5 linked regions of the Canis lupus familiaris genome follow. The protein of the gene in region 1 interacts with the protein of each later gene in a pairwise test. Links are inferred from orthologs where the notes say so. Each region holds a gene or a part of one and is shown in the gene's direction. Other genes may lie near its edges.

Region 1 (3,513 bases):
GTAAATTAGATTCATTTGGTTAGCAAAAAGCTTGCCCAGGTTTTCCTGTCACATTATGGGGATTTTTATGATGATACAGGAGCAAGTACTATAGGGACATTGTCATAGTTTCTTATATGTAGTATACAATCAATAATTGTACTGAGTCTGTGATACTGTATAGATTTTTTGAGTAAATCCTCAGTTGTATCCTTTTTCTCAAAAGTAGAGCACAAAATATGGGAAACATTTATGTCTTGCAGATGTAGTTTTATTTCTTTTTTTTTTTTTTAAATTTTTTTTTAATTTTTATTTATTTATGATAGTCACAGAGAGAGAGAGAGAGAGAGAGAGGCAGAGACACAGGCAGAGGGAGAAGCAGGCTCCATGCACCGAGAGCCCGACGTGGGACTCGATCCCGGGTCTCCAGGATCGCGCCCTGGGCCAAAGGCAGGCGCCAAACCGCTGCGCCACCCAGGGATCCCCTGTAGTTTTATTTCTTAAAAAGATTTTGTTTATTCATGAGGGACACAGGCAGGGACATAGGCAGAGGGAGAAGCAGGCTCCATGCAGGGAGCCTGATGTGGGACTTGACTCAGGTACTCTGGGATTACACCCTGAGCCAAAGGCAGATGCATCCAACCACTTAGCCACCCAGGCATTCCATCAGTTTGTATTTTTATATATTCAATCATGTTTTTTTTAATTATTTATTTATTAGAGATAGAGAGACACACACAAACAGGCAGAGGGAGAAGCAGGCTCCATGCAGGGAGCCTGGCGTTGGTCTTAATCCCAGATCTCCAGGATCGCGCCCTGGGCGGAAGGCGGTGCAAAACCGCTAAGCTACCGGGTCTGCCCTCAATCATGTTTTTAAGGAGGAATTCCAAGTGTGTGTCTTCTCAATAATTATGGCATGCAGATGCTCTTGTAATTTGCATTTAGTTTTGTGTATTTTCTGAAGGTATAAACTTTGTGTTAGTTGGTATCATTCAACTTGTATGATTTGCTTGTTTCAGATTCACAATGACATCCTTTCAAGAAGTCCCCTTGCAGACTTCCAACTTTGCCCATGTCATCTTTCAAAATGTGGCCAAGAGTTATCTTCCTAATGCACACCTGGAATGTCATTACACCTTAACTCCATATATCCATCCACATCCAAAAGATTGGGTTGGTATATTCAAGGTAAGAACAGTTTGTTGCATGTTTCTTCCATGTAGGTATAGGTACTCTATTTTCTTTTTAAGCAGGTTGATAAGTAGCTTGTATTAGCCTTGTCTTCACTCTGCGATAAGGGTCTTTTTACATTTGTAAACTTAAATGCTTTATAAACATGAAACACCTAATAGTGCAGGGTGGTATACGATACTGGGAACTAAAGTTCACCAGTTTTGCCCGTCTCTCTGATCAAAAGGTCTGTGAAACACTTTTTGGAACCTTTCTTTCCCTTCCATTTTTTCCATTCCTTATTTGAAAAAAGGTCTTTTCCTTTGAGTTGCTTTATCATTTACTATCTCTTCAGTCATTTATAATTAATTTTATACAACTCTACAGCCGTGTTATTTTTCTATTCTACGTTGATTAATTATTGCTCATGTCATTTTATGCTTTTTTTTTTTTTTTTTTCTAAATTTTATTTATTCATGAGGCAGAAACACAGGCAGAGGAAGAAGCAGGCTTCATGCAGGGAGCCCGACATGGGACTTGATCCTGGGTCTCCAGGATCAGGCCCAGGGCTGACGACAGTGCTAAACTGCTGAGCCACCCGGGCTGCCCCATTTTATTAAGAGTATTCTGTTTTTACATGACTAAATAGTAAACTCTCTGATGACAGGAATCCCAGTTCTTACCTTTTGCTAGTCATTTTGTATAGTAGTTGCTTGAGAATTACTTTGAGGTGATCTTTATGGTGGTGCTTCTCTGTGCTAGAAATTTACTGGCAATTTCAACTCTTAAGAATGTAGTGGATAACTAAAACGTGAGGTGAGTCCTTAGGGTGCCTGGCTGGCTCAGTTGGAAGAACATGTGACTCTCGATCTTGGGTTTGTGAGTTTGAGCCCCACATTGGGTGTAGAGATTACTTAAATAAAATTAAAAAGTGTCCTTTCAACAATCAAAATGTCGTAAATGTCCAAATAATAAAACTTTTCTCCTCAGTTCCTCTAGATTCTCCCTCAGAATGAGTTTTAGATATGATTTTAAGGGTCTTGAAATTTTGATTGCATGGTGTGTATAAGTTACAACAAAGTAGAAAGAAAGAACAGCTGCCAGAATGAAACACAGGTATCTAGAAGTGAAAGTCAGCCTTTTAGAGTGAGGAGGGCCGAAAAACTATTGGACAAAGAAAGTTTTGGCATCTAATGACGTTTCATTTCTTTTTTGAATCCCTTCCTTGATTTTGATGATAGAGGAATCATTTACTATTTTTTAATCTATTTATTGTTTGAGTCAAATTCCAAAATGGGGATACATTCATTGTAAGCATTTTTATGAAGTTAGTACTGGTTTGATTTTATGTGAAGTATGGGTTATCAAGTTAAAGAAGCTGAGTGAAAATTGGTGTTTTGTATAGGAATTGGTCAGACAAAAGTAGAGCAAGGAAATAAGATTGAGGGAAAGGAGGGGCATTTCTGGCAGGAAAATGGTATAAGCAGAGCCACAGAGTTGAGAATGTTATTGAGACAAGTTAGTTTGACTAGAAAATGACCTTCATTTAGGAAAGTAGAGGGAGGTAATGTTGGAATTAAGCTTCAGACTATCTATGGAGACCTTTAGTTATAGGCTAAAATTAAAATGTAGGTTTCTATTTTGGGCAATGGGATGTCTTTGCATATGTAGGTATGTAGGCTGATGTATGATAAATTGCATTTCAAGATGAATCTTTACCTTTTTCCTTTGAAGTTTTTTTTTCCCCTCAATTTTTAGTTAATGGCCTATTGCCTAAGCCAAAAGCTAATTACTTTCCTTTCAAATCTATTCAAACACCATTTCTTTACATTTTATTGCATATGTATTTTTGTATCTGTGATATCAGTGCTCTAGTTTTATGCCCTTTCCAAAATTATTGCACTTGTTTTCCCTGTTTTCATTCTTGTCCCCCTACCTTATCTGTTCTTCAAAGTACTGTATATAAACTATATTATAAAATGAAAATCTGAACATATCTTCTTTTTGTTTCAAACTCTTAGTTTTTCATTATCTGTAGAATAACGCCAAGACCAAATAACTTTACCAGTGTGCCATATAAGGCTTCCTTTTTTTTTTTTTTAAGATTTTATTTATTTGGGAGCTTGTGAGCATGAGCTGGGGGAGAGGCAGAGGGAGAAACAAAAACGGACTCCCCATGCTGAGTAGGGAGCCTAAAGTGGGGCTTGATCACAGGATCCTGGGATTATGATCTGAGCTGCAGACAGACGCTTAACTGAGCTACCCAGGTTCCCCATATAAAGCTTCTGTATATGTAACTTCATTTTTTTTGGTCATAGCCTGCTTATTATTATTTTTTCAAAGATTTTATTTATTCATGAGAGA
Region 2 (3,026 bases), on another chromosome or scaffold:
AGAGGGGTCAGGAAGGCTGGAATGTTAGGTTACTCAGACAGGTCCTCATGGAGAAGGTGGGTTGTGAGCAGTGTCCTGATGGGTGAGAAGAGAGTTAGGCTGAGTGGTCTGGTCAGAGGGAATAGCCAGTACAAAGGTCCCAAGGCACCTATGGCTGATATGAGAAAATGAGTAGGGAAGGGGCAGATCCGAGAGGACCCCTTGGGCCATTGCTGGGACTTTGGCCTTCTCCATGGGTAAGATGAGGGGCCTGCTGCCGTGTGCTAATGCAGTCAGCACGGGTGCTCGAGAGCTGATAGCTGGTCCTGGTAGCTTTAAATGGGTCCTGGTGGGAGTGTTTACATGGAAATTGCCCCCCACCCCCAGAGACCCAGGTGTTAAACACTTATAGCCAACCTGAGAGGCATGGGAGAGTTTGGAGCATTGTCTCCCTCAGACACCCCTCAGACACCCCTCAGACATCCTCTGACCCACAAGTCTTGGGAGGCTGAGTAATCAAAAAGAAGGTATTACAAGTTAGGAAATATCAAAAATAAGAGTTGAATGTCCGTTGAGTTCAGGCTTCACCATCTCTGCTCTAGACTGTGCAGTTTTATGACTAACAGACAGTGAGCTCACGCGTATAGGCTGCCACTATCTCCACATTAGAGGCTGGGAGCGTGTATGAGGCTGCCGTAGCTACGAATGATGCTGTGTGTATGTTCCTAACCTTTGGGTCATAGAACTGTGGCTATATGTATGGGTGGGCAGCCGGCCCAGCTCAGGCCCCCTCCCCTGAGCTCTGCTCCCCACAGGACATCCGGGGCCTGGAGAGCCCGCGAGAAAACCTGGAACAGCCATTCCTGAGTGTGTTCAAGAAGGGGCGGCGGAGGGTACCTGTGAGGAATCTGGGCAAGGTTATACACTACGCCAAGGTCCAGCTACGATTCCAACATAGCCAGGTGGGGCCAGGCTGGGCCAAGTGGGGGGTGCTCGGGTACCAGCCTGGGGCTTGCCCCCCGCCCCCCAGCCCCTCAGACCGGCAGCCCTACTCTCCCCCAGGACGTCAGCGACTGCTACCTGGAGTTGTTCCCCTCCTACCTCCACTTCCAGGCCCATGGTTCCAAAGGACTCACCTTCCAGGTGAGGGGAAATAGGCAAAAGGAGGAGGCTAGGGGTAGAGGGAGAGAGCAGCCTCCTGGGAGGTGGGTATCCAAGTCCCACTAGGGGTCCCCCAGCCCTCCCCTCCCCGCATGTGCTCTGGCAGGGGCTGTTACCACTGATGGAGCTGAGTGTCTGCCCGCTTGAGGGGTCCAGAGAGCATGCCTTCCAGATCACAGGTGTGTGGGGGGCGTGAGGGCTGCTCAGTGACTTTGGACTCTGGCTGGGCTTCAGAACACTGGAGGGACCCTGCATGCACTGAGGGATCCAGGCTTTTCCTCCAGTGGGTGCATGAGCATTTACCAAGCTGGGTGGGGTGCAGGGCAGCGGGCAGGAGACCTCCAGAGCTGTGAATGTGGCCCTGTTAGTGGCTGTTGGTCCTGGCCCCGGGGTGCGCACAGAGCCCTTGGGTGGGGCCTTTCCTGTGGGCTGCTGGCCCCAGCCCACTCCACCCCTCTACCCCCAGGCCCGCTGCCTGCTCCCCTTCATGTGCTCTGCCCCAGCCAGACTGAGCTAGGCCGCTGGCTGTTCCACCTGGAAAAGCAGATAGCCCTCGTGGGAGGGTTGCAGCGCTGCCACTTGGCACCCCCTCAGGTCAGTGCTGGGAACCCCCATGCCCTTTTCCTATCTCCCCTGTGCCAACACCCTCTGCCTGCCCCTGATCCCCCTTCTCCAGGGTGCCCCTGAGGATGAGCTGCCCTGGACTCTGCAGCACAGTCTGACCCAGCTACGGATGGAATCAGGGCATCAAATGGTGGGCAGTGCCATCTGTGCCTCGAGGGTCAAGCTGCAGCATCTGCCCTCACAGGTGCGTGGCCAGGTGGGAGTGGGGCAGTACCCAGGGGTGGGAGGAGATGGGGGCACAGGGTAGGTGGGAAGACATGGGGGAGGGCACAGAAAATGGGGAGGAGTTTAGGAGGCAAGTGGGGTCAGGCCCTCACACACACTGGTTGGTTGAGGCCCCATTCTGCCCTTTGACCCCTTCACAGGAGCAATGGGACCGGCTCCTGGTCCTGTACCCAACATCTCTGGCTATCTTTTCCGAAGAAGCAGATGGCCTTTGCTTTAAGGTGGGTCCCTCCCCACTGTGGACCCACCCCAGGGAGACGCCCTGTGTGTGGGGGTGGGAGAGGGCAGCGGCTTAGGAGGAACCTGTATTTCGGGGCCTGTTGGGACAGAGTTTGCTGGCCCCACCCCCACCCCCAGCCTGCTGTCCTGGTCAGTCTGGTCTCAGCTGTGATGTGGCCAAGGAAGGGTCTGTGCTTCAGCACCCATTATCATCCTAAAGGGTCCACCACCACCAGCAGGACTATCACGTGGGGAGGTGGCATGGGGGCAGAACCACTCCTGGGAGGTACTCTTGTGCTGGGCCCCAGTATCCCTGAGAGGGGCCTATACTTTTGAGTGGACATTTTCCTGGTGCCTGAGGGGTGTGTGCATGCACGGGCGTGTGTGTGTGTGTGTGTGTGTGTGTGTGTGTGTGTGTATGCATGTATGTTTATGAGAGTCCTTCTGGGGCTGGAGTGAAGCCTCCACTTGTGCCTGCCATTGGCTGATGAAGGCCCCACCCAGAGTCCAGGGGTAAAGGGATCCCTCAGGACAGACAGGGAGCCCTGGCCTCCCTCGGGGATGTCAGCCTTAGCCCTGCCTTGCCCTCTGCCTGCCATCTGAGGGCCCAGCCCAGCTCTGGAGGGTGAGACAGAAGTATGGGCCCAGGCTAAGGCTCCATCTTTCATCACTGCCTGGCACAGGCGGAACTCCCACTCAGCGCCATCCACATCAACCTGGAAGAGAAGGAGAAGCAGATCCGCTCTTTCCTGATTGAAGGTGGGCAGAGGCCCAGCCTGGGAGGGAGGGCATGAGCCAGCTCTTCAGTGAGGCCGTGC
Region 3 (4,142 bases), on another chromosome or scaffold:
GGAGAAGCAGGCTCCACGCTGGGAACCCGATGTGGGACTCGATCCTGGGACTCCAGGATCGTGCCCTGGGCCAAAGGCAGGCGCTAAACTTCTGAGCCACCCAGGGATTCCCCTGAACTAATATTTTAAATAAAATTAAATTTAGTAAGTCAAGTCAGTGATGTTAAATTAAATGAGTAATTAATTTAAGTTAAACTTGAACTATATTCCCTTAAATTTACTTTCATACATCAAATTGTAATTAAGTTAAAATTGAATTATTTGAAATTTATTGGTTAAATTTATCTGAGTATCTTACCAACACATGCATATTCATTTATACTAACTAAAGTTAATTTAATACATTAAATGAACTAAATTCGAAGAATTATGTTAATTAAAATAAGTTACAATCAAATTAAGATTAATTCAGTATTAACTAGAAAAAGGAGGCAAGTCTGGATCTGAAGGTCCACTTTGTGGATTAAAGACGGGCTTTAGGGGATCCCTGGGTGGCGCAGCGGTTTGGCGCCTGCCTTTGGCCCAGGGCGCGATCCTGGAGACCCGGGATCGAATCCCACGTCGGGCTCCCGGTGCATGGAGCCTGCTTCTCCCTCTGCCTGTGTCTCTGCCTCTCTCTCTCTCTCTGTGACTATCATAAATAAATAAATAATTCTAAAAAAAAAAAAGAAGAAGAAGAAGACGCGTTTTAAGGAGAGAGGGTCACACAGTCCATGATGCAGCTCCTGTGACTTCGGTTGTCTGTGACGGTGTGGAGGGGCCACGAGTAAAAATGTCTAGGAAAGGTGAAAACAAAAACAAAAATCAGACCCGACACCGCCCTCAGGAGAATCATCAGGAGCAAGTACGTTACTATGATGTCCAGAGCCAAGAAATCCAGAACGACTGTCAGCACCCGGTGACAAGTTTCATTTTCCCCAGGCCCCCCGCCCCCCCAACCTGAATAGAGTCGTGACCCTGAACGCGGACATTCCCTGTGACCCGGGCTCGCGCATCTGCTGGGGGTTGGGGCGGGGGCGCTGACCCGTTAAAACCCGCCCGACCGCTCAGGTTGCCTGAGTTACAGCCTGGCCTTAAGGACGTGTCCAGAGCTCCGACCTGTCCGGTTTTTTTTTTTTTTTTAAATGTACGGAGTCTAATTAAAAAATTGTAAGAACTAACTTCATAGGAGAGAATTGAGTATGTCTGATGGAAGAGAGCCAGAGTGGACGTCACGGGGATCCCGGCGAATCCACATCCCGGCGGTGGCGGGGTCAGGGGAAGACGCGGTGTAGCCGGTGTCTCGGGTTCCGGGGTCTGCTGTGGCTCGGCCCCTTGTCACCAGGGTCGGGCCCTTCACCTGCATCCTTCCGTTCGGAGGGTGACCGCGCTCCCGCAAGGGCCGAGGCTGCAGGGCGCCGGGCTGGGCTGAGGACCTTCGAGGAGGACCCGGGGCGCGAAAGGGTGGTGAGGATGACGTCAGACACAGAACGGGGGAACATGGGCACAGTCCGCTGGCGCCCCATTAACACACGTGGGAGGGAAACGTGAGTGAATGGAAGACGGAGTGTAACTCGAGGCACGTGGTGTTTCGGGAGCAGCCGCTTTTCCTTTGAACTTCTCTGCAGGGCAAGCCGCCATCGTACGGAGTCGATGCCAAAATGGCGGCGCCCTCCTGGAGACCGCGGGTAGGACGCTGCCATGCATTGCCCGTGAACGTACGGACTCGGCCATCTTACGGAATCAGTTTCCAAGATGACGGCATCTGCGTGGAAGCCGCGCACAGGCGCCGCCATATTTCCTGTAACGTTGAGTCCGTACGAGCGGCCACCGTACGGAGTCGGCCGACAAGGTGGCGGTGCCCTCGCGAAAGCGGCCACATAGGTGCGGCCATGTTTCCTACTAGTTTACGGCCCTGACCGCCGTACGGTCTTGGTCGTCAAGATGGTGGCGCCTGAGAGACCGTGGCGGCTCTAGGCGGCGGATCGACTTGTTTGGTGCGGAGCCGACGCATTAGTCCTGCGCAATAAGAGTACGGTGCCCGGGAGGCGCGACCAAAGCGGAAGTAGTTGTGGGCGCCTTTACAACGGCCGCGGACGCCGCCGAGAGGTCTGTGCGGGTTCGCGGGTCGCTGGCGGGGGTCGCAGAGGGGTGCGCCGAGAGCGGAGAGATGGTAAGTACGGGGCCGGGGAGGGTCGGCGGTAGGGGTCGGCGGGTCGGCGGCGGGGGGTCCGTGGGCAGACTCGGGGGGTCTGTGGTGAACCGTCAGGGGCGTCCGCGGGCGCTCGGGCGGGGGCCTGTGGGGAGCCTCAGAGGGGGCTGCGGGTGGAATGTCGGGGTCCGGGGTTCCGAGCTTGTTCCGACGTGTGAGCCACCTGGGAGTTTTGTGACGGGCCCCTGCGCGGCTCCGTGATGGAAGTTAGTGGGGACGCCTTTCGGCAGCTCGTCGGGGGCCCGCTCGGGGACTGCGGGGCGGCGGGACCCGGCGTCTGGGCTGAGCCTGCCCGGCGGCCCGTAGCGAGCGGGGCAGTCGGCGTCGGGCCGGCGGGGAGGCGCGAGGGGGCGGGGCTGCCCGGGCGCTAGTGACCGTGACCGCGACCGTGACCGTGAGCGGGGCGGGGCGGGAGGTCGGGGTGCCGGCGTGGGCCGGGCCGGGAGGGTCGCGAGGAGCCGCGGTGGGAAGCGTGGGCAGACGGTCGCGGTCTGTGGAGGCCGTGGTGGGGCTGCTCTAAGGCACCGTCCCGCAGGAGGGGGACGGCTCCGACCCAGAGCCTCCAGACGCTGGGGAGGACAGCAAGTCGGAGAACGGCGAGAACGCGCCCATCTACTGCATCTGCCGCAAACCAGACATCAACTGCTTCATGATGTGAGCCGGGGAGAGGCGGGCGGGCTGACGCCGGCGAGGTTGGGTGAGGCTGATGGGTGCGGCCCCTCACATCTGCACCACTCACCCCATCCTCTGCAGCGGGTGTGACAACTGCAATGAGTGGTTCCATGGGGACTGCATCCGGATCACTGAGAAGATGGCCAAGGCCATCCGGGAGTGGTACTGTCGGGAGTGCCGAGGTGAGGGGGCGGCCTGGACGGGGGGCACACCCACCTGCCTCCAGGGAGAAGCCTTCAAGGAGGGTGGGTCCCGGGCCGAGGGACTCGGTTTGTGGTGAGCTGCAGCGGAGACTCCAACGGGCGCTTGGCTAGAGCGTCCCCCAGCGGGGTAGCCCTGCCCCGGAGGAGTGACGGGGAGAAGGTGGGGGGGACCAAGATGAAGAGGAACCCTCCGAATCCCTCAGGGTCCACCCACCCTGGCCCCACTGTCTTCCCCACAGAGAAAGACCCCAAGCTGGAAATCCGTTATCGGCACAAGAAGTCACGGGAGCGGGACAGCAATGAGCGAGACGGCAGTGAGCCCCGGGATGAGGGTGGAGGGCGCAAGAGGCCTGCCCCGGATCCAGACCTGCAGCGTCGGGCGGGGTCAGGGACAGGGGTTGGGGCGATGCTTGCTCGGGGCTCTGCTTCGCCCCACAAATCCTCTCCACAGCCCTTGGTGGCCACACCCAGCCAGGTGAGTGGCTGCTGGGGCTGGGATAGGTAAGCTGAGCCTCCCGCAGGCCCCGTACACGTTCCTGATTTTTGTACTGGGCCTCTCCCCTCAGCATCACCAGCAGCAGCAGCAGCAGCAGCAGCAGCAGCAGATCAAACGGTCAGCCCGCATGTGTGGCGAGTGTGAGGCCTGCCGGCGCACCGAAGACTGTGGCCACTGTGACTTTTGTCGGGACATGAAGAAGTTTGGGGGCCCCAACAAGATCCGGCAGAAGTGCCGGCTGCGTCAGTGCCAGCTGCGGGCCCGGGTGAGCATGGGTAGAGCTGGGCAGGGCTGGGGGTGTCAGTGTGTCCAGGAAAGGCTCGTGGAGGCCAGGAGGGGGCAGGCTGGGCGGGTGAGCTGGGGCCTTGCTACACACAGACAGGTGGGAAGGAGCCTGGCCTGTGTAGGTGAACAGGGCGTGACCAGGTGTGTGGGGCTAGCAGGGGCATCCCCGACCCCAGGTGGGCAGGGCAGACCCCCCCCCCCCCCCCCCGGCCATTTTCAGCGGTCAGGCACGTCAGGGCAGGTGGAGCAGGGTTGAGCATGTCCTGGTGATGTGAAGCGGGGGTACTAGGTGTGT
Region 4 (4,212 bases), on another chromosome or scaffold:
GTCCCAGCCATTGGTTTCAAATGGCCAGCACCAGCCTTGGAAGCTTGGCCACTTCTGACTCTCCGCTCTGAGTGTCTCTTTGCCAAAAATGTGCCACCTGGTCCTCATCCAGTCCTCCATCCAGTCTCTGCAGGTCCTTACTGGAGAGGAAAGCATATTTTTCTAATTCCAAAACTGGGATACGAGGCCCAACTAGTATAAGTAAGTCTAGAAGGGGACAATGCACAGAATATTTCAATCTGGTTCTAGTTTAGCTATTCTAAGAAATGCGCCAAGGGGGACTCTTAGCCAGTCAAAGTGCCTGCCTCTCCCTCTGCAATTCAGGCACCTCCACTGTCCAAGTGGCTGACACCTATTTCCACAGGACGTCCTTTGGGTAAAGACTGCGGGTTACCACACTATTTAATAAGGGGTGGGGGTCGTGGGTGGGTAAAATGTATTATCAGCCCTTGACACCTTGGCCTGAACTAATTGTCAGGTCATGAAAAAGAGCTCCTAATAGGGCCTTAGGGGGGCCACGCAAGGACAGTAATAATGGACTAGAAATGATTTCTAAACCGAAATGTTCCTGCGTGCCGAGCCCCCTGGGCACCTGGTGTGCAGGAAGGGAGAAAGGGAAATCAGTAAAGTGCAGAACAGGGCTGATAGTTGCTCTGATTCCCAACTTCACCTAAGATAGGTTTTGCTCCTGCAAATTTCAAGGCTGTGGGGCCTCAGGAGGTCACCCCCAACAGGCCGCCGTCTGGGCGGCAGAACGCTGGGATGGGGACGCACGGAGGGTTGTGAAATCCCCACCGGGGCCCAGAGTAGGGCGCTCCCCGACGAGCTCATCACGTGCACAGCCCTAGCTTTTCCAACCCAGCCCCGAAGGCTGCGGTCCCGGACGCCCGGGTGGTTTTTAGGGTTTTCTTTCTTTATTATTTCCCTTATTGTTCTCCACGGTTGGTGATTTTCTGCAGAAAAACGGCTGAGAAAAAAGAACCTATTTCATTTCCAGTTCCCATCACCGCGATTTCCACATGGATGTGACGTTGGGCCAGCTTCCGAAATGCCCAGGTGACTCACGCGGGGACACCCGGGGGCGGGGCTCAGGAGTTTCTCGCGCGGGGGGGCGGGGCGGGGCGGGGCGGGGCGGGGCGCCGCCGGCCTCCTGCGCCGCCCGCGCCCCCTGCGCCCCCTGCGCCCCCTGGCGGCCGGCGACCGCGGGGCTCGGCGCCGGCCCGGGCGTCACGTGACTGGAAAGTCCCCGGGTGGAAATCCCCGTTCTCCGCCGGCGGTAAAACAGAAAGGGAAAAAGAGAACTGGCAGTCTGCAGTCCTCGCAGCGGGCCGGTGCAGCGCGCTCGGAGCCCGCGGGGGCGGAGCGGTGACAGCAGCCGCCGGGACAAGTGCGGCGGCGGCGGCGGCGGCGGCGGCGGCGGGCGCGAGCCACACAGCCCCGCGGCGAGCGAGCGCCGAGCCCCGGCGTCCATGGGGCGCCTCCTCCGCGCGGCCCGGACCTGACCCGGACTTGGGACTCTGGAAGAGGATCGCGCGGCCGGACAGGTAACCGCCGCGTGCCCGTGCCTCTGCCAGCGGCGTCGCGGGGCCCGGGCTGCGCGGGTGCGTCACCGGCAGCTCCTCGCGGGCGGGAGCTTGTCGGCCCGGGCCCGGCCCGGAGCTCGTCGGCCGTCGGCGCTCACTGCGGGATGTGAAGTGCTGGGAGTCGAGGCGGCCGCGCACGACGCTGGGGTGACAGCTCGGGAGCCCTCCGGCCAGCTGTTCCTTGTAGATGCTGCCAGGAACGTAAGCTGCAGCAGGCGGCTGGAGAGGAGCCCCCGGACGGCCAGGTCGCGTGGTCCTCGGTGCTTTGCCCCTTTGCGTGCCTTTTTTATTTTTCGATCAAGCTCTGGATGCTCGCGGACACGGAGACCTTGCAGAGCCGACCCGCCGTGGCTTCTTCCCGGCGGGTGCAGAGCCAGGCCACCCGCCGGGCGGGGGGGGCGTGGGGGCCCGGGCCAGCCAGCCTGCCCTGGGTCGGCTTGCAGACCCCGCAGCCCAGTGCAGGGAGGCGGGTGGGCGGAGGGCCGGTGCTGAGCTGCTGCAGGCGCCGCAGTGCGCGAGGAGTGTGCATGCTCAAGCGGGACGTTGGCCGGCTTTTCGGGTGCTCCAGTGGACGGCGACCTGGAGGCCCCTGCCCCAGCCCCTACCCCACAGTCAGACGGTCGTTGTCAGCCCGGGTCGTCCCACATCCTGCCACCTGGCCTCTCAGGAAAGCAGTGGTATTAAGTAAGGAAGGAGCTCAGCGCTTTTGAGACCGCTTTGTTTTCAGTTCTCCCCGCCTCTGATCTTCTTTCCTTGGAAAGCTGGTCTGGTCAAGTGTCTCAGGGCAGCCTTTGGGGAGGACCGTGGTTCATCAGTCCCCTGGACCTTAGCACTAGTGTCTGCAGTTGTTACGCAGCCGGTTATAGCTCCATTCCCATCGTCTAAGGTGCTTCTTTGTTTTTTGTTTTTTTTTTTTCTCTTTTTAACAATTCTGTGTACAAGTTTTGGAGTTTAGGAGTGAGAGTTACCAAAAATTCGATGAGGCATTTATTGATTTAAAAAAAAAAAAAAAAAGTCAGTGAGGTGACAAATGTAAAAGAAATGGTAAGGGTGATAGCATATGTCTTTACCTGTAAGGACGTTACAGTTATAGGTCAGGAAAATTTATTCTTTCATCTTAAACGTGGAGAAGTCCGAGAACTGGGAACTTGGCTGGTGGGTTCTAATTCTTTTCAGGAGGCGATCGATTCCACAGTGTGTGCAAGGCTAAAACTATGAATGAGATGACCCAGGGCTATACAGTACTGACATTTGCATGTCTTACATATGGCAAAGAGCGCTTGTGCTATTTGAGGTCTTTGCTGAAAGATCTTTAAATTAGAAGAGATTAAGAGAAGATTCGGAAAACTCAAAAGGCAACACCTAGCTTGTTTCAAATCTTTTTGCTTCCGGCCTCTTCCCGTCTGGCAGCAGCAGGCACAGGGATGGTGTTGTGGGAACTGCAAGGGGCAGGTGTTGGAAGATCTGGCTTCCAGGCAAAGCTGTCTGCCTTGGGTGGTGTGGAACCTGAGCAGGACCCGTGCTTGTGTTGCCATGGCTGTGGACAGGGAATAAGGGCACCTGTGATTTTTAGTCCCAGCATCCAGCATGGCTCTCAGCAGGTGAGCAGGCAGTGCTTTTTAAGCAATGGACAGATGAATGAGTGATTGTGAGACTGGCCATGCCACAAAGTGGAAATGGGTGTAATGTTTTTATTGCTTCATTATGCTTGTGCCCTGCAATAATTTTGCCCAGTTCCACCTTCAGGGAACTGAAGGAAAGATTACCAACTGGCCCAGAGAATAACTTCTCCCAGGCCTCATTGACAATCAGATTTGGAATCCTGGTCCAAAACTATCACCAGAAAACTCCTCAGAAGCAACCTTGGGTCATCTACTTTAACCTCTCTATTTTGGACCACAAGTTTTAAATCACTTCATCAATGGCTTTAAGAGAGCCTAGACCCACCTAGGAATGGCTTCCCTAAAATCTAGGTTTCTTCTCACTCTTACACAGGTTTCAAGTCTTCCTCAACTAGAAGCTTGCCCTGGCAAATAGTATGGTGCAGGAGTGAGATTAGCAATCTCCATGAAACTTCCTAGGGAATGTCTTCATGCTCCAAAACCATCTTTGCCTTCATCTTGGAAACCAAGATGTATGTTGGGGCACCCTGCTAAGGCTTGTGGCTTTCCACACAGCTCCACACTGCAGAGATCCCACGTTGCATCAATTCACAACATCCTACGCTATTGGCATGGGTTGTAGATGCTGGGTTTTGCACCACCCCCCTCCCCCCGCTTCCTTCATTTATCATGAGCATCCCCCTGGCTGAAACATCTTTCCTTGCCCATTTCCAGACTTTTATTTCCTTCTACCAGCAGATTATGTTTCAGGATTCCAGGGTGAAGACAGGGTGGGAAATGCATTTGAGTGTTGGTACCTGGACAATGATAATAAATGTAGTTAAGTTGAAATAATTGAAATCTAATGCCTGCTCTCGGAAGTGTAAAATTTATTCTTGTATTATTATTATTATTATTATTATAATTCTATGTCCTATTCTGATGTTGTGAAGTTCAGTGGAGAGGTTCTGAAAGACTTTATCATTGACCGTTAAAATTGCAAAGCTTCTTACTGGAAATAGGCTTTT
Region 5 (4,112 bases), on another chromosome or scaffold:
GGGCACCGTGGCTAGGTGTGCATCTGCAAAGTATGCATCCTACATGCCCTTCCCATCCACAAGACAACGGAGGTTTAAATGAGATTGTGCATTTGAAAGCTGCTTGACTACAAATGCAAAGTACACACTTGCTCCCCATTATCGCAGCCCCATGAGCATGTGTGCCCTTTCTGAAGGGCATCAGAGGGAGAGTCAGAGGATGAAGCCACTTGTCAGTGATGCTATCATTTAATCACTGGATGTCCATTCCTGATGATTAGCCAAAGCCCTGAGATTCACACTGATTCATGAAGCAAACATAGAGAATGTAAAATCACCTTCCTTTATGTCACACTGTTCATTTGAAGACTCTTCACTGTTGAGTGATTCTGCCGGGAAATCAGTGTGGGAAATGTAAACCCTCTGCTCACTCGGAGTGCAGAGGTTTGCCTGGGTGTGCATACATTTCTGGAAGCAAAACCCTGGAGGCTGAGACCTGGGAGACCTGTGTCTTACCTCTTATCAGCCCTTGGATCCCAGGCAAACCAGTTAACCTCTATGGGCCTCTATTTCTTATCTCTTGAAGGGAGGTTTTGGGGGTCACTGGGCTTCCTTCCCCCCTTTATGGCAGAGAAAATAAAATGGCAGCATATACTGGAGTGTGCCCTACTTTGTACCAAATCTGAGTTTTAATCCCAACTGCCTCTCTTACTGGCTGTATGACTTTGGGGAAATGCCTTTACCTTTCTGATCATAGGTTTCTTTCTGTGAAAACTGGCTGTGAAGGACTGCTGCGGGAGTAAGGCAGCCCAGTTCAGCGCGGGGCAGCCCCATCCTGGCCCACCTTCAAGATAGGCTCCTACTAAAGCACAAGATTGTGCCTAGAAGGGACAGGTGGGTGGCTCAACAGTTGAGCATCTATCTGCCTTCGGCTCAGCGCATGATCCTGGAGTTCTGGGATCGAGTCAAGCATCGGGCTCCCCACTAGGATCCTGCTTCTCCCTCTGCCTATATCTCTGCCTCTCTCTCTATGTTTCTCATGAAAAATAAAAAAATAAAAAAAATAAAAAATAAAAAGATTGTCCCTACCAAATGGCTATTTGGTATCTCCAGGGTCCTCATCCCAGACATAGGCTGCTTGGTGACCCAGCCACTGATTTTATTGTGAACCCTAATTTCTCCAGCAAAGAAACATTTTGAACTGGCCATGAGCAGAGTGACTTTGTCTGAGAAGCAAGCAAGTGGCTGTTGTTCCATCTCCTACTCTGGGCTGACCTCCTCCTACCCAGGGAGGGGGAGGGGAAGGAGGGTTGGGGAAGCCTGATGTCACACAGCCCTACATAAGGGCCTCCTTTAGGCTCCTGCGGGGCGGTTTGGAAGCAGCTGAGGAATGAGTTAGGTCCTGGTTGTGGGATTTTTTTTTTTTTTAAGTCAGACACAGACACAGCTGTTGAGCAAAATGCAGACACCACAGAAAACCCAAAGCCTCAGACCCTTCAAGCAGAGGAAGAGTTTAGGTAAAATTCTAAGGGTAGCTGTCTGGGTTGCTAGGGAGAGGGAAGAGGATACAGACTTCTCCTGCTGTTTACTTATTCTTTTATCTTTGAAATATTCACAGCAACCAGACAAGAGGAAGTTGCCGGAATCCGAGCAAAGTTCCCAAACAAGATCCCGGTAAGACCGCATTACGCTTTTTGAAAAGGAGTATACTCTGTTCCTTGAGAGAAAAAAAGAAAAAATAAGAAGAAGAAAACAAAACAAAACAAAAAAACCCCACTGTCTCTCCCTGTTCTAATTTTCTAAGATACTGAGACCTCTGAGTTACATTCTTGGGGGTTGACCCTCTCGACAGGTGATAGTGGAGCGCTACCCCAGGGAGAAGTTCCTGCCCCTACTGGACAAGACCAAGTTCCTGGTCCCACAGGAGCTAACCATGATCCAGTTCCTCAGCATCATCCGGTAGGTGACAATGTGCACGCTGGGGAGTGTGCTAGGTGAGGCTTTTTCTGTTTGCTTTGTTAATTGGTTTGGTTTTGAGGAGGGGGAGAATCTGTAAGAGAGGGAAAAGATTTCCTTTGCGACTCACCTCTTAGATTCTGTAGGGCCCAGAAAAGATGCTCTGAGAAGTAATTTGACTTAAACAGGCGAGGAAAATCCCACAGATAGCAAGTTTAAAGAGAGTAAGAGCCGCCAACTTTTCTAAGAAGTTTTGGAAGTAGTCCTGGCTCTGAGACTAGTCCAAAAGATCTGTTCTTCCACAAGCTGTTTAAAACTCAGTCTTAAAAAAAAAAAAAAAAAAAAACACTCAGTCTTCATTTTCCCAGCAGACACACGGTACCTTTAAAGTGTCTGTGCCCTGGAGGAATGAGGACCTCTTCCAAAGGCAGGCACTCCCTTCACTGGGAGGGAGGACAGGAAAGGTGTCCCCAGACATGTTCCTCCTTTAGGTTAAGGCACAGCAAAGAAAATGGGGCTATTTTCAAAGCTTAAGAGGGGTAAGTACTGTCACTTGACACATGGATTCAACAAAAATGATCTGAGAGTAATTACCAGAGGGTAATTCTTCATGGGGTTGAAAAGTCCAGAAAGGCCAGCCCTTGCAAGCTGCATAGCTGCTTTTTCTTTAAGAATTCATTATGAGTGTGTGTTTGTCTCTGTCTTGTTTGTCTTGATGAGTTATTTAAGAGGATCTTGATATCCTCTCCTTGGGGAGCTTATGTTGGCCCCGTGTGAATGGAAGTGCCTAAGGGATGACCAGTGTTAGGATTATATCCCAACATGTTGATGTAACAAAGAGTGACCACCCCTCACCCACCTCCCTTAGAAACAACTCTCTGAGTTCTGAGAGCCATTCTTTTTCTCCTTCCCAGACAGAGGTCATCCTTTGTTTTCTACCAGCCCTAATCCCCTCTCTATGCCAACATTTAATGCTCCAGAATGTTTATTGAGCATCAGTGATGTTCTGGATTCTTTCTAGGCTGTCTTTAAAGCAGTGAACAGAATAGACAAAAAAAAAAAAAAATCTCTCCCCAGAACCTCTTCCTCCAGAGGATGCCACAACCCTCGTTGAAAGATAGTATAGCAAAGGACAGGAGGTGGGTGTGTGGACTGTGTGGAGTGTTTCCTGCAGAGCTGAAGGCAATGCACTGGTCCCCAGCTCCATCCATTCCCGTTGTAGAACACTTCTTTTACCCAGACAACCATGCAATTATCAAAGCTGAAATCTTCAGGGTTATTTTGGGAGAGGTTATCTGGTTATAAAATTAATCAATTTCTAGCCACCTGTGTCCCAAAACCACATGGACCTAGCTCACCTGAAAGTTCAAATCTCTGAGACCAGAGTGGGCAAGCTATGCCTACCTCTCCAAGTAGAGCAAATGGAGGTGTGCTGCAGGGGAGACAGATCCCTTACCTGAGTGTCTACGCTGTCATGTTGTCCTCCACTCCAGGATGAACCAGGCCTCAGATTGACCTTGACATTATAGCCTGTCCAAATGAACTAAGCTGCTTCTCTATCTCCTTGAGGTGGGGGGAGAGATGGCAGAGGGAGGAAAGGGTAGTAACCTTTCAACATTTCATTCCAAAGCTATTTAACAATGAGATGCTGGGAGATACTGTAATCACTTTTGTATGTCTGGGGCTGTACATACCTTGAGTTTGAGAGCAAAGAGGGCTTAGCATTTTTGTGTTGGTATGTCTCCTAGTTAATGATAGGATGGCCTTACTCTTGGTGTGGAGTGCAGGTGTCTGCTTTCAACAAGCCCTCCCGGGTAATTGTCAAGTTTGAAGACAATGCACTAGAGTGGAGAGGTGGGCTCCTTGGGTAGACATGTTTGCCGTGGACAGACAGAGGTAAGCCAGGGCTTGGGTCAGGGGCCCATTCCATGCCCAGTTAAAGTTTTCCCTTCCTGCCCCCCACTCCTCCCCACCCAGGAGCCGCCTGGTCCTTGGGGCCACTGAAGCCTTTTATTTGCTGGTGAACAATCGGAGCCTGGTCAGCATGAGTATGACCATGGCAGAAGTCTACAGGGACTACAAAGATGAGGACGGCTTTGTGTACATGACCTACGCCTCCCAGGAGATGTTTGGCTGCTTAGGGTCGGAGCAAATCCTGCCGTCCTCTCCAGTGCATG

What was found.
Region 2: the proteins of TAX1BP1 (region 1) and PLEKHN1 interact in binary tests that used the Homo sapiens proteins (3 or more experiments, as listed by UniProt). The two-hybrid records come from large-scale screens. The link is inferred for Canis lupus familiaris from reciprocal best matches to the Homo sapiens genes TAX1BP1 and PLEKHN1.
Region 3: the proteins of TAX1BP1 (region 1) and CXXC1 interact in binary tests that used the Homo sapiens proteins (3 or more experiments, as listed by UniProt). The two-hybrid records come from large-scale screens. The link is inferred for Canis lupus familiaris from reciprocal best matches to the Homo sapiens genes TAX1BP1 and CXXC1.
Region 4: the proteins of TAX1BP1 (region 1) and TNFAIP3 interact in binary tests that used the Homo sapiens proteins (3 or more experiments, as listed by UniProt). The link is inferred for Canis lupus familiaris from reciprocal best matches to the Homo sapiens genes TAX1BP1 and TNFAIP3.
Region 5: the proteins of TAX1BP1 (region 1) and MAP1LC3C interact in binary tests that used the Homo sapiens proteins (3 or more experiments, as listed by UniProt). The link is inferred for Canis lupus familiaris from reciprocal best matches to the Homo sapiens genes TAX1BP1 and MAP1LC3C.

The regions. Positions count from the first base shown.
Region 1 is NC_049235.1:40,948,755-40,952,267, forward strand, and holds part of TAX1BP1 (tax1-binding protein 1), read left to right. Parts: intron 1-998; 5' UTR 999-1,005; coding exon 1,006-1,167; intron 1,168-3,513.
Region 2 is NC_049226.1:56,673,364-56,676,389, forward strand, and holds part of PLEKHN1 (pleckstrin homology domain-containing family N member 1), read left to right. Parts: intron 1-794; coding exon 795-941; intron 942-1,041; coding exon 1,042-1,122; intron 1,123-1,246; coding exon 1,247-1,319; intron 1,320-1,606; coding exon 1,607-1,734; intron 1,735-1,816; coding exon 1,817-1,948; intron 1,949-2,129; coding exon 2,130-2,210; intron 2,211-2,891; coding exon 2,892-2,967; intron 2,968-3,026. UniProt on the Homo sapiens protein: Controls the stability of the leptin mRNA harboring an AU-rich element (ARE) in its 3' UTR, in cooperation with the RNA stabilizer ELAVL1.
Region 3 is NC_049228.1:78,682,941-78,687,082, forward strand, and holds the start of CXXC1 (CXXC-type zinc finger protein 1), read left to right. Parts: upstream 1-1,337; 5' UTR 1,338-2,149; coding exon 2,150-2,152; intron 2,153-2,726; coding exon 2,727-2,845; intron 2,846-2,944; coding exon 2,945-3,045; intron 3,046-3,305; coding exon 3,306-3,541; intron 3,542-3,632; coding exon 3,633-3,827; intron 3,828-4,142. UniProt on the Homo sapiens protein: Transcriptional activator that exhibits a unique DNA binding specificity for CpG unmethylated motifs with a preference for CpGG.
Region 4 is NC_049222.1:30,483,165-30,487,376, forward strand, and holds the start of TNFAIP3 (tumor necrosis factor alpha-induced protein 3), read left to right. Parts: upstream 1-1,408; 5' UTR 1,409-1,544; intron 1,545-2,505; exon of another isoform or gene 2,506-4,212. UniProt on the Homo sapiens protein: Ubiquitin-editing enzyme that contains both ubiquitin ligase and deubiquitinase activities.
Region 5 is NC_049228.1:33,301,758-33,305,869, reverse strand, and holds the start of MAP1LC3C (microtubule-associated proteins 1A/1B light chain 3C), read left to right. Parts: upstream 1-1,312; 5' UTR 1,313-1,438; coding exon 1,439-1,496; intron 1,497-1,597; coding exon 1,598-1,653; intron 1,654-1,831; coding exon 1,832-1,938; intron 1,939-3,912; coding exon 3,913-4,112.